2 linked regions of the Lytechinus pictus genome follow. The protein of the gene in region 1 purifies or fractionates together with the protein of each later gene. This does not show direct contact. Links are inferred from orthologs where the notes say so. Each region holds a gene or a part of one and is shown in the gene's direction. Other genes may lie near its edges.

What was found.
Region 2: the proteins of ubiquilin-1-like (region 1) and 26S proteasome non-ATPase regulatory subunit 4-like purify together in Drosophila melanogaster (affinity purification with western blotting; 3 studies listed by BioGRID, with this or other methods). This does not show direct contact. The link is inferred for Lytechinus pictus from reciprocal best matches to the Drosophila melanogaster genes Ubqn and Rpn10.

Annotation. Positions count from the first base shown.
Region 1 is NW_026974140.1:5,441,863-5,449,447, reverse strand, and holds the start of ubiquilin-1-like, read left to right. Parts: upstream 1-4,431; 5' UTR 4,432-4,518; coding exon 4,519-4,635; intron 4,636-7,585. Other genes in the region: uncharacterized protein LOC129260988, read right to left, coding at 51-261.
Region 2 is NC_087256.1:4,229,184-4,237,150, forward strand, and holds the start of 26S proteasome non-ATPase regulatory subunit 4-like, read left to right. Parts: upstream 1-4,951; 5' UTR 4,952-5,029; coding exon 5,030-5,055; intron 5,056-6,990; coding exon 6,991-7,131; intron 7,132-7,967. UniProt on the Drosophila melanogaster protein: Binds and presumably selects ubiquitin-conjugates for destruction.

The DNA of each region.
Region 1 (7,585 bases):
AAATAAAAGATGCAATGGAAGAGTATCTGGGTCGATGTGGGTTCACTTACCGGAGGGGAGGAAATCTCTTGATTTTGAATGGGAATCCTGATGAGGAATCCCGCCAAGCGCAGCACCAGCTGTATCGGTAATGTCCTTCTTCAAGAATGTAAACGCGACATCATCGCTCGGCGCCGATTCCAAGTCTTTAGTGATTTCATCAAGACTTGGAAGTTCAGGTCTGCTTAGTAATTTCTTTGTTCTCGACATGTTGACATTCATATATCAAGCATGAATCAAAATAATTTTCTAAGGGCAAAAGTCTAAGTTCTAACTCCTACTCGAATCTTCGCGTACGTTAACCATACGTGTACATCCGTATGCGATATAAGCATTACATTAGAAGCCTATGGAACGCCATGGTATGATGGTAGACAGTTCTTATGTGACCATGATTTGATTTCGACACAACGATGACTACAAAAACGGTAAGACCGGCCTTCATTAATTTTTGGCCCGGGATTTTGGCCGCTGTTTATTACCCTGGTCTGTTATTATCATTATTTTTTTTAATAAAGGTCTTGATGAAGTTTCTGTTTTTTTTTTAATTCCAATGTGTTATAAAATTCGCAAACTGAAATTATTCTTTGAGATGATAATAACAAAGCGTACTGTACATTTTCCCCGGGCGCCAGTCAAATACAGTACGTGGCGTAACTACGCCGGGCTGGCCAAAAAAAAGGGGGAAAAGGAGAAATAGAGGGAGAAAGGGAGAGAAACGTAGCGAGAAAGAAGATATTGTTCATTATATTTATAATGTAATATTATGTTATGTTATATTACATAAAAAAACATTTTTTCATAACTTTATGAAACATAATTTGCTCAGGGCCTATATGTCTCCATTGTTCCTCGTGCTCACATTGTCTGTTTAACGAGATATGTAATCCTGTTGTACTAAAACCTCCCGTTTCAAGTCAATATACACATATTGTTTTATGTATAGTGACACGTGCTTCTTATTCGTGACTATACTTAAAGTAACTGCCCCATTTTAAGGCCTTGATATAAAACATTTCCTGTCCATGCTTACGTTCGCATTAGTGAATTGGTAAGATATGTCTGCTCTTCATGAATTCCTAAAATCAGGCTTAAAATGTCCCTTTTTCTGATCCGGAATATCAAAAATTTTCAGCTTGCGCTTTGCGCTCGCATCACTGTGAAATACGTATCTTTGGTCTTCGTGAATTCCTACAAACAATTAAGCCTTATATAGAATGCCCCTCTTCAGGTCTGAATTTCCTAAATCTTCAGCTCGCGCTTCGCGCGCGCAATATTCGATTAGTGATAGATGCGTATGATAATCATGATTACAATTACTACAAAAGTGCTCCATGTGTTTAGATGTAATCCTTAAAAAAATCAGCATGCACTTAATTGGCACTCGCATTAGATTTCATGGTGAGAGGGGGTGAGATATATGTATACTCTTAATGGATTGGCTAAAATATAGTCCTTAAAATGTCCCTGTTTGTGGTCAGTATAAACAAAAATTCGCATTGTTTGTTTAGCGAGATAGGTACGTATCATGATTACAAAAAATTGCTTGTAATGTCCCTTTTTAGGTCTGAATATAAACAAATTTCAGCTCGCGCTTCGCGCTCGCATATGATCAGTGAGATATACGTTTAACTGAGCGCGTTTCGCGCGCTCACTAAGTGACTCAAAAATTTTGCTGGTGCCCCCCATGCCGTGACCCGACGGTACACCACTGTTGTTGTGTATTTGACTCCGGAGGGGGGGGGGGGTACAGTATGAACCATTTTGTGAAAATGACATGGATTTTAAATAAAGTGCAGCATTCATTGTATTTCTTATTTTTTTATATAAATGTCAATTTTTTTTATAGATATTTTTTGTCGCCTTTCACACCTCATTAAAATTGAAGGTGCTACTTCTCTTTAAAGAGCACAGCAATATGAGTGAATTAAGTATATAATTCTGAACTATGATGTAAAATTTTGTGAAACTGAGATGGGTTTTGACTGAGTAATAGAGGTTCAAACTCAACGTCGTGATCCCGTGGGGTTTAAAAACGCAATATTATTTTACTTGTGTATTTCTCGAGACCTTGCAAACTTGGTGAACTTCAAAGCTCGATAGCAATTTTTTTTTGCATATTTTGAATAATTATATAGTTGCTCAGTGGTGTACCTGGCATATTTCGTCAGGGGGGGGGGGCAAGCGACAAAAATGAGCAAGGTGGATGGGGGAGGGGTAGTAGGCATGGACGTATAGGCACAATTTCTTCAAGGGGGGCTGATAATCATTGCCCAAATATCAACTTCACAGTTTTTAATTTTCGAGCGAGCGAACATTTTTTTAATTATTATTTATAGCCATTATTTTAACATGATATGAAACTTGCAGAAATTATACATTCGGTCATCAAATTACCAATACACGAGGATATTTGGGCACCTCGTAGTCCTCGTTGCCCTCCATTTTGCTGCCCCCCATACACGTTTGGATGTGTAGGTCTGGAAGTGGCACTGAAGGTGGGAAAGGTTACCCAGGGCAGAGGCGTCGATCCTGGGGGGGGGGGGCAGGGGGGCGATCGCCCCACCAATGGAAATATTGGGGGGGGGGGGCAAACATATCGTTTTGCCCCCCCCCCCAATAATTCCGCATGTGCAAAAAATAAAATAAGATTGTAATGTTTTTACAGAGAAATCAGCAAGCGAGATTGAGATACACAACTTGTTCTTTATCTAAAATCGTGCTCAAAATGTCCGCTTTTCAGATTGGAATATGAAAAATTTTCAGCACGCGCTTCGCGCTCGCATCATTTCTGTAGCAAAACCCATACTTTTCATGATCAAATAGCTGAATAGAATGTCCCATTTTCAGTTCTAAACCTCAAAAGAACTCCCACTTCGATTTGCAATAATCTTTTGTTGGATCTATATCTCGTTCTTTGATTAAATCATTTTTCCTGTGATTTGATCATCACCAAGTACTCTCCCATGACCATCATCATCATCTCCATCTCCATCATGGCCTTCATTTTCACCATTATCACCATCATCCTAATTCATCTCCATCTTCATCATTATACAATTATAAACAAAATAACATTTCCATTCTGCTTTATAAATGTATGTAATAATTTAATGAGTTTTATTCCGGGGTTGTCATTTTTTTTCAAGCAATCTGCTAATAATGACAATCCTTCTCCTGCAAACTGTAAATGTTAAAATGTTCTTTGTTGGTTGTAGATCATATTTGTTTAGAATGACTTTCTATTTTGTATTTTTTTTCTTTATGATTCATACCTAAATCAATTACCGATATATTATGTTTGTTACATAATGAAAATTGAAATGTTATAATTATATGAATGCAGAAGAAAAAATAAATCAAATCAAATCAAATTTTGTTTAACATTATTGATCCAATGCTTATACTTTAACAATATTATTTTGTTATATAGGCCTACATTGATTTGTACATACTAACTGCGAAAATTCTGGTGTTGAATTAACACCAGCCCGGAATCTATATATGTCCACACCATGCAGAGAATTGTTAAACAACACAAGTTTCGTTTTGGTCTAACACCAGATAGGTGTTTATACAACACCAATTAGTATTAAAACAGCATCGGTTTGATTCCAAAGTGGTGCTATTTCAATACTTCTCAGTGTGGACATAGGCCGGGCTGGTGTTAAATCAACACCGGAGTTTTTGCAGTGTACTACTTTATAAACTTATATCTGATGCATTGAATGCGGAAATAAAGCGATCATCAATCAATCAATCAGTCAGTCAATCAATCAATCAATCAATCAATCCGCAATCAATCAACCAATCAATCAATCAACCATAATCAATCAATCAGTCAATGTACTTTGTATGGATATGTTTTTTTTATTTCTATCACGGTGCACTCGTCACAAGCACTGCTTACAGAGTACCTCCATTGTTGTTAAATTTTTGAAATTGTATTAATGCTTTTATCTTTGGAAATAAATGTTTAATTGAATTGAATTATATAAAGCCTTAAATGAAAATTATCATTATTTTTTTCACCGATAGATGTGAGATGAGAATGGAAATCGGGAATAAGGTTAACAGTATTATGATGCAAAGAGAGATAAGTGAAATCATATTCAGAAATGATGCAATATCAAAAATTCTGAGCAAATTAGGCTTAGATTGTAAGTCGATCCACTTGGCCTATAAATATAATAATTGATAAAATAGAGATGTGGGAAATGTTGCAGTCCGGAGTTACGGCATTGATTTGATCAATGACTTCAGTACACTCAAATGGGAAAAATGAATGGAAACTTTTCAATGTATATAAACCATCCACATCCCCGAATCTATTTATTGTAGTAATACCATGAAAATGGTAAATGTAGAAAAAAATAGTTAGTACAAACAACAACACATTACAAATGTAGCTTTCCATAACTTAGTTAGACAAATTCGGTCACTTGAGAGGTCAATTTGTTAAAACACAAATCTGGAAACATGGCGGAGCCTACAGAATCTTCGGGAACCACTGCTAAAGATATCATCAATGTTGTCGTCAAGACACCGAAAGACAAAGAAACAATAGAAATCAAACCCGATGCTACAATTAAACAGGTAATATATGTGATTGAGGGTCCATGTTTAGCAACGACTGTAGTGTAGGTGAAGTTTGTCAATATTGCTTATTCACGGCGCGATGAATGATCCACTCTACACTCACAGACCACAGTCTCTCACTGCACTCTCAGCGTTTCACAATGCGCAACGCCGCCGTAGCGCCATAGGCATAGCCATACTGGACTTAGCCTTAGCTTAGCCTTAGGCTTAGCACAGTCACAGGACGTGCATTTATTTTAAGATTTTAACCCAGACTAACTTGTAATGCGATTTTTTGTTAATGGGTGATACTGATAGTAATAAAGATGTTCGTATCTAATGACGTGAAAGCCCATTTTTAGCAGTTAAATTGTCTCATCAGACTCATGTAAATATGAATTATGAGTAACGTTACGTTGGAGCTTACCAGTGGCACTGGCAGTAGCCTGGAGGCTTCTGGGGAGTAAAATTATTTACTACGTAGGCTTACTCCCCATGAAGCCTGGGACGGCATGCCATAACTCCCTGTATAGGCATAGGATTCCCACGGTGAAAGTAAACCTAAAATCTAAATCACACATTTTCCTTTACTTTACGTTTTTAGCCCAAACTAACGTATGGGCCAAAACAATATTTACCCCCCATTTTTAATAAAGGTCCTTATATTTATTGAAAAATAGTACTAAATTTGAAAAAAACATAAGAGCACGAGCGTTTACTTCAGGGTCGGAATTACACGGGGGCGACGGGCGATTTTGCCCCCATGACAGCCCAAATCGCCCCTAAAAATTCTTTTTTCTTTCCCCTAAAAAAAAAAATTAATTCCTACCCTGGTTTACTTACCCAGTTTGTTTACGTCACCATTTTGGAGTCTTTTGTTATCGATACCAAGATACCACACGCATGTAGAGCTGCCAACTTAGATTTAAGAAATACTTTAATCGGCCGATAAATATTACGAATCGTAAAATACTTGTTTCAGTCGATAAATATCATTAAGCAATTGTTATGAGCAAACAACCGTCTATGGACAAAGGGGTGCGCTTTTGCACCCTCCTCGATTACTCCTAAATTTTGCTTTTTGATGGGGGAAAAGGGAAGAAATAATCAAAATGTATTTATACTATAATGACACGTGTGCGCTCTTTTTATTTCAAGTTTATTTTTTTAAAGCAATAGGTTTGAATGATTTCCTGCATGAAATTAAAAGGAAGGACTTCCCTAATTGTTTATTTTGTAACAGTGACCCGGAAACCTATTTACATCTTTTTATTGAATGTCCTGTTGTGAAACCCATTTGGGATGAAGTTATGAAAGCTATTATTAAGGAAACCAAAAAGCCTGATTTACAGAATGTTTCAACATTTGAAAAAATGTTTGGTTATATTGATGATACATTCCTTGCATATTTGTTTCTTTTGCTTAAATATTACATTTATATTTGTAAATTTCAGAACAAACCACCAACTTTTGATGGTTATAAAGCATATTTAACCTCTAACAAGGATATTGAATATCGTATTGCCAAGAAAAATAAACCTACAAGCCATTTTCGGAAATGGAGATTTAAGTTGTAAGATATTCTATCATTTTTAATTTTTGTAACTGAAGAATATTTTAATATGCCTTCTGAGGATAGAAATTTGTTAATCTCTAGGTAAATCACCTGATTTGTATCCCTCTGTTATTTACATTCTTGCCTTTACTATACTATAAGGGATGAGGAATACTTAGAAGAGACAAAGTGACTGCTTTTACAACATGTTTATCACTTTTTATCTGTTGATAAGCTGTACTTTTTCTGATGTAAACTAATAATGTGTATGCTGCTTTTTTATTTCAAATTACTTGTATTGTTTATATGTGATTTGTTACCCAAAATCATGAAAACCCAAAGAAACTAATAGACGGGTCAATATATGGTTTGACCCGGAACAAATTGCAACAAATGATTTTTCAACGGTATTTTGTACTATTTGACCTCAGGAATAACATACTAAAAATCTACCAAAATCCGCATCCGGGAAAGTGGTTATTTTTAAGATGTCATCCAAGATGGCCGCCATTCACTAAAAATTGATATAACTCACTCATTATCCACCCTAGAATCATATTTGGGTTCATATTCCATGGTCCAATGGGTAACAGAATTTATTTATACAAGTTAGAGTGAATATTAGCACTCCAGGGTACCAGGAAAATCCAAGATGGCGCCCAAAATGGATGCCGTAGTCTAAAAACTCCACAATTCATCTATTACTTACTTAAGTGGCTTTAATTTGGTTTCCATCCGATTGTTTTAATGATGAAGTAGTACGTCGGGACAAGTTACAAGATGGCTTCCAAAAATTGAGTTTAAAATGGCTGTTAATCCTTAAAATGGACATAGCTCATATCACATCAACCTGAGAGATATGATTTTGGTGTCTAGACCATGGTTTCAATTGTCAAATAATACATTGGGACAAGTTACAAGGACAGTCAGTGGTCCAGTATGTTCAAAAATCCAAGATGGCTTCCAAAAATGGAGTAAAAAATGCTGTTGCTACTTTAAAAAAACCCAACAAAGTTTGTTCAATATTCGGGAATATGATTTTTTTGTGCCTATACCATGGTTAAATGGGTCAAATAATAAATTGGGATAAGTTACAAGAACGATTGGTGGTCAAGTATGTCCAAAAGTCCACGGTGGCTTAAAAAATATGGTATCAATTAGCCGCGATGGTATTTAAAAATGGACATAGTTCATGTTTTATTCGTCAAGGGCATATGATTTTGTTGCCTATATCATGGTTTCAAAAGGCAGAAAATTAGTTACAAGGACAGTCAGTGGTCCAGTATGTCGAAAATACAAGATGGCTTCCAAAAATCGGAGTCTAAATGACTGCTGTTACTTTTAAAATGGACATAGTTCATTTAAAATCCACCTAGGAGATATGATTTCGGTGTCCACACTATGGTTTCATGG
Region 2 (7,967 bases), on another chromosome or scaffold:
AGTATGCAGCCAGGTCAATGCACTTTTGTGTACAAATTGGTGCATGCATGTGTCTGCGAAATATCATCATCATCCGTGAAAGAACAGTCCACCACCAGGCTGGTGTATCACCGTACATGCCTGTGCATTTCATTTATTTGATGTTTCGAATCAGCGCCTTCAAATTTACCCATTATTACGTCGACATTCTGGAAGTGTGGCATTCTTACTTATTCTTATTGTAGCAATTTTTGTGAGAGGATTTGTACTTTTTATTGTAGACAGACCTAGATCGACTACTGACTGCCAGTTTCATCTCATCTGCATGACCTGATATAGGTAAAAAGCATTTTTCATTGATTGAATGAGATGAGAAAGCTAACGGTATAGATCTATAAGTACACTTACATGTACAGCATTTCTCATTGACAGCCACATTTACTATAGTATTACTAGATCTAGATAGATCTAAAAAAATATATATCTCATTAATGGCAATAGGTGTGTCTTACACTGTCTACAAAGATAAAATGAAGATAAGATAGTAGTCTAAACTAACTGTTATACAAATTCAGATTTACGGTTATCTTAATCTTGTCTCATGACATTGACATTGTTTTGTCATTATTTCAACAACCTCGTTCGTAGGATGAGTGATTTCAACAAAGATAAACTAAAAATACTAAAGTACTTGATTAAGACATTGGATTGTAAAGTTACTCTAACTGAGTACAAGATAAAATATTATAGTTTATCTGAGATAAAATGGATCTCAGAATCCAAGGTATCAGCTCAGCAGAGCAGAGGCTGGTCAACGGTAACCACCAGTCGCCCCGGCCCCGGTGGCTCTGGCTCTGCCGCACCGAATGGGCAATGACCCTTGTCTGCAGCTGAATTCCGTCTCCCTCGGCCTCCCAAGCGAAATTCAAGATAAAAAAAATCTGAACTGTGCGATAACTGTATAAAATACTTACCAACAGCATACTTTGCCTCCTTTGTTGGAACCCACCCCGTCATTGTGTCATGCATATATTCCAATTTACTAGCAAAGAAGAGAAAATCTGCTTCCAAACACCGTCTCAGCGCGCCGGTAGATGCTCCTCTCACTTCACCGAACCTCTCCCGACGTCGCCATGTTTGATGAGTGAGTGATCCGATTGTCAAGTCATGTGATTGGAATTTATCCAATCACTCATGCGGAATCCCGCACATTATTGAAGGGATTCAGGGAAATCCCATACAAGTTTTTTGTTGTAGTAGTATTGCTCAACTCCACAACCCCGGGGGGGCCAGTTCCATTCACGAGTGGATACCATGCGCGACCATGGGGTCTCGAAAAGCACCCTAAACACGTAATTTCCATATTCTGAAAATGCACCCCTTAACAAGTATTGGCGTGTGAAACCCTACCCTTAACAAGTATTGGAAACAAAACGATACCCTTGGCAAATATTCCCTGAAATGAACCCCTAAACAAGTACATGAATGTTTTATTGTTACGGGTCTTTCGGTCGTCGGCTTTACCTAATTTGGTTTAGTACGACCGCATCTTCTACATCTCGCGAAAATTGGACTCTAAACACGAAGTGTTGGGGCAAAAAGGACATCCTTTATAAAACATTTTAATTTTGTTTTATCATCCCCGCAAATTCGACCCTAAACACGTAATTGTCCTAGCGAAATAGATACCCTTTTTTCATTATTTTTGTGTTTTTGACACCCTTATCACGTTACGTACGTAACGTGCCCTATCGTGAAAAGGACATCCTTTTTACGTGTTTTTTTGGTCGCGCATGGTATCCACTCGTCAATGTAAGTGGCCCCCCCGGGTCCACAACACATGCCCTCAACAACAACATCAACGCCCACGACAACAACCGCGGCGACAACTTCCGCAATAATTATATTACACTCAGCTCATCGCCAAAGGGAGTAAGATGGTGGTTGATGACCCGGAGTGCCTAAGATGGTGATGATTTGGTTGTTGTGAGTGGTGGTCCGAGTGGTGGTGATGGTGGGGGGTGGTGGTGGTGTCGGTGGTAGTGATGGGGTGGGGATTATGGTTGTGGTAGACGTGTAGGCCCACCGGAGTGCAGGTAAACCAGATGGTGGTGATTTGCTTTCAGTATATTCATGGATGTTTCATGCCGGGGATTCATCGGGTTTCATGACAGTGGTGGTAATTATGATTATGACAGTTGTGATAAAACATGGTGGTGATAATCTGTATGATGATGATGGTGGTGGTGGTGATGTTTTCTTGGTTAGAATTTTAAACAAGTTGTTTAAAAACCTTCAAATAATCAAATAATTGTGTAAAGTCTTAAAAACTTGTTACAGCATTCATAGCTCGAGAAAGTGCTATATATATATATATATATATATAATCTTTCACAAGAATCATCAGTAAAAGTATAACGAATGCGCTGTATATTTAGTGAAGTGTTATTCAATTTATAACAAAAACTTAGGACGGAATCTTTTTAATTCCTTGCCACCTTTATTTCGAAATTTATCTGCCTTTCTTTTGTTGTTTTGCTAGTTTATCCATGGAGCTAGGGGACATGGTTTATCTATAATTTGCCGTATACTATAATGAAAGATCCTTGAAAAGGGTGGATTTATAGATGGCGCTATACTAACATTCTGCCCTGGCTGTCTCGAGGAGAGATCCATCAAAGAAGAAAGATAAGATTATAGATGGAATTTTAAGTTAGTGTGATAAAAAAAATGAAATATTGTTTTGCATACTGGGCCATTTTTATCTATTTTTTTTTTAATTGTAAAAAGGGAAATGCTTAGAAATTGTAGCAGTACTGATAAAAAGATGAACACTATCAAACGAACATTTAGAAATGCGATCACAAAAAATGCAGCCCGTTATATTTTCAATTTGGTTTTTATTTCATGTCAGTGATCTTTGGCTACTAAAGAGCCTTAAATTAATGTACTATGGTCCGTGTAAAGGGCACTTAAGACGGTCTTTATCAGAAGTGATTAGATACATTGCTTGAATTGAGATCGAGGAACATAATATGCCTTATAGGGACATAATAATTATGTTAGGCCCCTAGACAGAGGGTTCTAATGGAACCCCCGCTGCCATGGACCCGTCCACAGAGGATAAATATACTGTTACTTGGGGTGCTGAGCATTGTCACAGCACCCCAAGTAATAATAAATAATCCTCCTCCTCCGTTGCCAGGTCCATGCCCGCTGCAAACAGGAAAATAGGGGGATATGATATAAACACTAAACAGTTAAAAAAAACTAGCATAGCGCTGAAAATTTCATCAAAATCGGATGCAAATTAAGAAAGTAATTACATATTAAAATTTCGCTTTATTGTTCAAAAACAGTTTTAGCACAACTCAGTGACCTACTATAGAGAGATTCGATTACATTCCTCACTCATAATTCTTTTGCTTTTTATTGTTTGAATTATACAATATTTCAATTTTTACAGATTTTACACTAAGGGCCAACTTGACTGAACCATAAAATGCTACGATAGTAATTTGATATACAAAATATTCATAGATGATTTTTTTTTTCCAACGACATTTTCAAACAATAAAATAACTGAGAAATTGTGAGTTGGTGACGTCATCAGTCCCCTGATACCGACCAGGATGCGCATATAGTAACTGTTTTGTTAAAATAAAACGAAACTTGAAGATTTCATTACTTTTTGATGAAATTTCCAGTGTGTATATGCTCGTTGGATTTTTTTTTTTTTATTCAACTAAACTTTTTTTTAGTTGGGGCGGACTTGTCATTTAAAACTTCAGCTTTATAGTGGCCAATCGGGGGAAAATGTGGACTAAAATATAAATGTGTCCGCCCTATATTGACCAAAGCTGGATCCGCCCCTGAAAAGGCTGAAGCAAACGGAACTGAATATAAACTACAAAGGTTCACTTTTTATAGTTAAGATCCCCCGTCCAAAAGTCCTGGATTCATTTTATTGATGCCTACAAGAAACATTAAAAAAAAAAAAAGATTTTTAAAAGGCCCATGCAAAAAGACCCACACGAATTGAAGGAGACAGTTAGTGGATACAATATTATTATGTGCGGTATATCTAACAATGGAGAAGATGGGGGGAAAAAAACCTTATTCGAATATGTTGGAATAATTGAGGATACTGTTGTGAGGTTGATTTAAAATGTCCTCAATTTATCTGATGCCGAAAACGAAATACTTATTAGGCACAGACGTCCACACTATAGGGTCTACAAAAATAAAACAGTGGCCTGTCAGCCCTGCCCCAAATAGGGCAACTTTTCGCATAGACCAAGGGCCACACTTTTTCATTGTTACAAAATCGGGAGTAAGTCTGCCCCGGCACTCTCACCATGACGCCTTCTCTTCTCTCCTTTTTTTTAAAATTTTTTTTTTTTATTGAATTATTGAGCAACGGGGTCTGAAGAAGTGCGGAATCCTTTGATATTGAAAATAACCAAAGAAAACATCAAAATTACTGTGATAATCATAATCATGATTGCATTAATTTTTTTGACGTATATACTCAGGAGCAGAGGCGTATAATGAGCCTAAAATTTTGAGGGAGCTATAGATGTGGCGTATCGCGTAAAATTTATTTAAAGTTGCGAGGGAGCAAAATTTTTTATATTTTCGTGACAAAAATAGAATTTTGTGATATATGTTAACATAATGTTCAGAAAATGATATCATATTTCATCCGCCTCCTTCTTTCTTCCCTTTTCTCTGTTCTATTCTTGGTCGTACACCAGTGCTCGGGAGCACACTGATCGAAATATTGGTTCACCGACTTTTTTTCTTTATTATTTTTTTCACTTGAACTTTGAACTTTATTGAAATAACGCCTTTTGGTCCCGTGGGAGCAAATTAAGGCTTTAACATATTACATGTACATGATACATGTATATAAAGGTTTAACAATAGTAGTAACGTATTTACAATTATTATACAGCAAAATACAGGTGCCACAGTCAGAGATACGATCTTATAAAAGCGCCCTCTTCGCTAGTAATTAGTCCTGGAAGAACATTAGAATTCAGCAAAAATGCCTCTCGAAAGTACGGTAGTTTGGTAAGTAATGACACTTTATTTAATGAGGAATGATATCTAAATTTGAATATATTGACTTTCAATTTCTAGAGCATGTCGATAAATGTAAATATTGCATTTTAAGCATTTTTTCGGAAGCAATGTTGCTGAATCTTTACGCTCAATGATTATGCATTTTTCATCGTCTTATATCGGTCCCACGAATTGCTTTTAATGTAATGTTTACATTGCTGCGGTGTATTTAAAATCCAATTTATGGGGAAGAGTTCCATATATGCACCCTAGCCAGGAGGCTCCTGGAGATTAATGTCATATCACTGACGTGCTTAATCTCCATGGAGCCAGGGACGGGATGCCATTGCTTTACACAAACCAAGTAATTTGGCAACAATATTAATCATGAATTCATGACCATGTTGCTCCAAAATTAAACATGCAATGTTAGGCAAAAATACACCCTACTCATTTTCTTTACGTTAGGCTTAGCCTTAGGTTTTGTCTTTTGTTTGAGCCCAAACTTATGTTAATGGGCTACAATACTATTTGTAAGCTTTTAGCACTAAAGTCTTAAAGAGATATTTTTTTATATAATTAAACATAATAGAAAATATTAAAAGTAGAGCCAGCACCAGACTCCAGACTCGGAGTCCAGAGGAGCGTTGTCTCAGTCTGTTATTGTCGCCATCTTGCCGTCTTTGCCTATCGTAGCCCACTCACACGTACACGTATTGCGAGGTTAGTTGCACCATGAACCGCGTTTGGCAGTGGATTCCTAACTAGTGGGTCGCGTGTGCTGGGATCCCACTTCTGGTGTCCACAACACACGACTTCTATGGCTTGATTTTTCTGTGCGCGGCGGCATATAATGAACCCTTGAGTGATCGTAGCCTAGCTACAAAGAGGTGTATAGAGGGCAACAATATCATCATGAGCAGTGTCAACTTAGATTTTAAAAAATACTTGCATTGGCCGATAAATATGAATCGTTAAATACTTGGCTTGCATCGGCCGATAAATGTACAATTCATGATACTTCATCGGCTGATAAATATCATGAATCATGATATTTATTGGCCGATGCAAGTAATTTTTTTATCTAAGTTAGCACTGCTCATGATATTGTCGACCTCTATAGGCGTCTTGTAACCAGGCTACGATAACAAAGACGCCAAGATGGCGAAAATAACAGAATGTGAGTAAACGCTCCTCTACTTTTAATATTTTCATTCATTTTATGTGTAATGTTATTTTAAAATATGACTATTTTTGAGCCAAACGGATTGAAATGATATTGTAGCCCATTTACATAAGTTTGGGCTCAAACCCTAAATTAAATGTGCGATTTCCATTAAGTTAGAGCGTGGCAACTCTTACTGTACGTGTAGTGCAATGGCATCCCGTCCCTGGCTCCATGGATATTAAGCACGTCAGTGATATGACATTAATCTCCAGGAGCCTGCTGGCTAGTCTGTGTACTACATGTAGGAGAAATAAAAAAATAAAAAATGTTTAAAAACCCCTTGAAACAGATGGCTGCCAGCTGTCTAGACCTCTATATGTTTGGTGTGAGTTGTGGTGATTGACTGTGCTGGCTTGTGGAATAAGTTTGCCATGTCGAATGGTAGAACATGTCGAAATCTGGGTTTGTTACTCTATAAGCTTTCAATTAAAATATGATTTGTCAATTTCACTTTGGGTCCCGTCAGACTCGGGGTCCTTAATTTCGCTCTTTCTCATCTTGTCTTGCTCTTTTAGCTTGGTCATCTTATTATTGACTGCCAACTTTTTGTTATTAAAGCATAGCCATGAGAGCTATATCTTCACATACATACATGTATGTGAGATTTCAATGTCCCCCTCCTCCATGTAGGTTGAACAAAATTTAAACAGTTTAGAATATCTGATGAAGGCACCGTCCTTTCATATCATTTATGTTGTTTCTGTGTGTTTAAACAGTGTTGACACCAGTGAATACATGCGGAATGGAGATTTTCTTCCAACCCGCATCCAAGCACAGCAAGATGCAGTCAATCTCGTATGTCTCTCCAAGACCCGCTCTAATCCTGAAAACACTGTTGGTCTTATCACCCTCTCAGAGTGAGTATTGTCTTCAATTTTTTTTTAATTGTTATTATTGAATCATGGTTGAAGTAATTCAGCCTTTTGATTAATAGGAGCAGTATGATTTGATTTTTTATTGGTGCATCTTATTATGTCATAATGTTACTTCCAAAATTCTTAGAAATAACATCCAGGGAGATATACATGTAGGTGTCAATGCCATAAAATGCAGGCAAATCATTAAGCAAGTACACAGATGCAAGTTTTCAGACAATGTTCTGCATTCAGATTTTTTTCAGGCCATGAGTTATTTTCATTTTAAATTAATCATTAACTATAATTCTAATCGATTTTTTTTCTCAGGCCCTATGTTATTGATTACGATTCAGCCGCATGTATCTGGCAATGTTGGAATGGATACCATCTGTATAACAGATGAGACCAGAAACATGTATGAGACTAATTATGCAGTAGGATGCCATGGTAGAGAAGATTAATGTATTGTCTGTCTCCAGTGCTGTGATTCTAATTTCATCAATAATTGGAAATATGAAATTTTCCATGATAGACTACTTTAATGTAAAGAGGAAGCTTGATATGAGATATGGGATAAATGGTTTTATTCACTTGGTCTACTTGCAGATGGTCTAATTCTCAGATCATCTTCTCAACACAATGGATCTATTTAATAGTAGACCAAGTGGGTTTAGCCATGATTCATGGCGTAACCCACTTGGTTTACTATTAATTAGATCCAATGGCCACTTTATTCAAACATATCTTGGTCTATTATTGACATTGGGCTAACTACCATTTAGTTTATTGTGCAGATGGTCTTATGTCCACTTCATTTAGTGATTTTTTTTCACTTT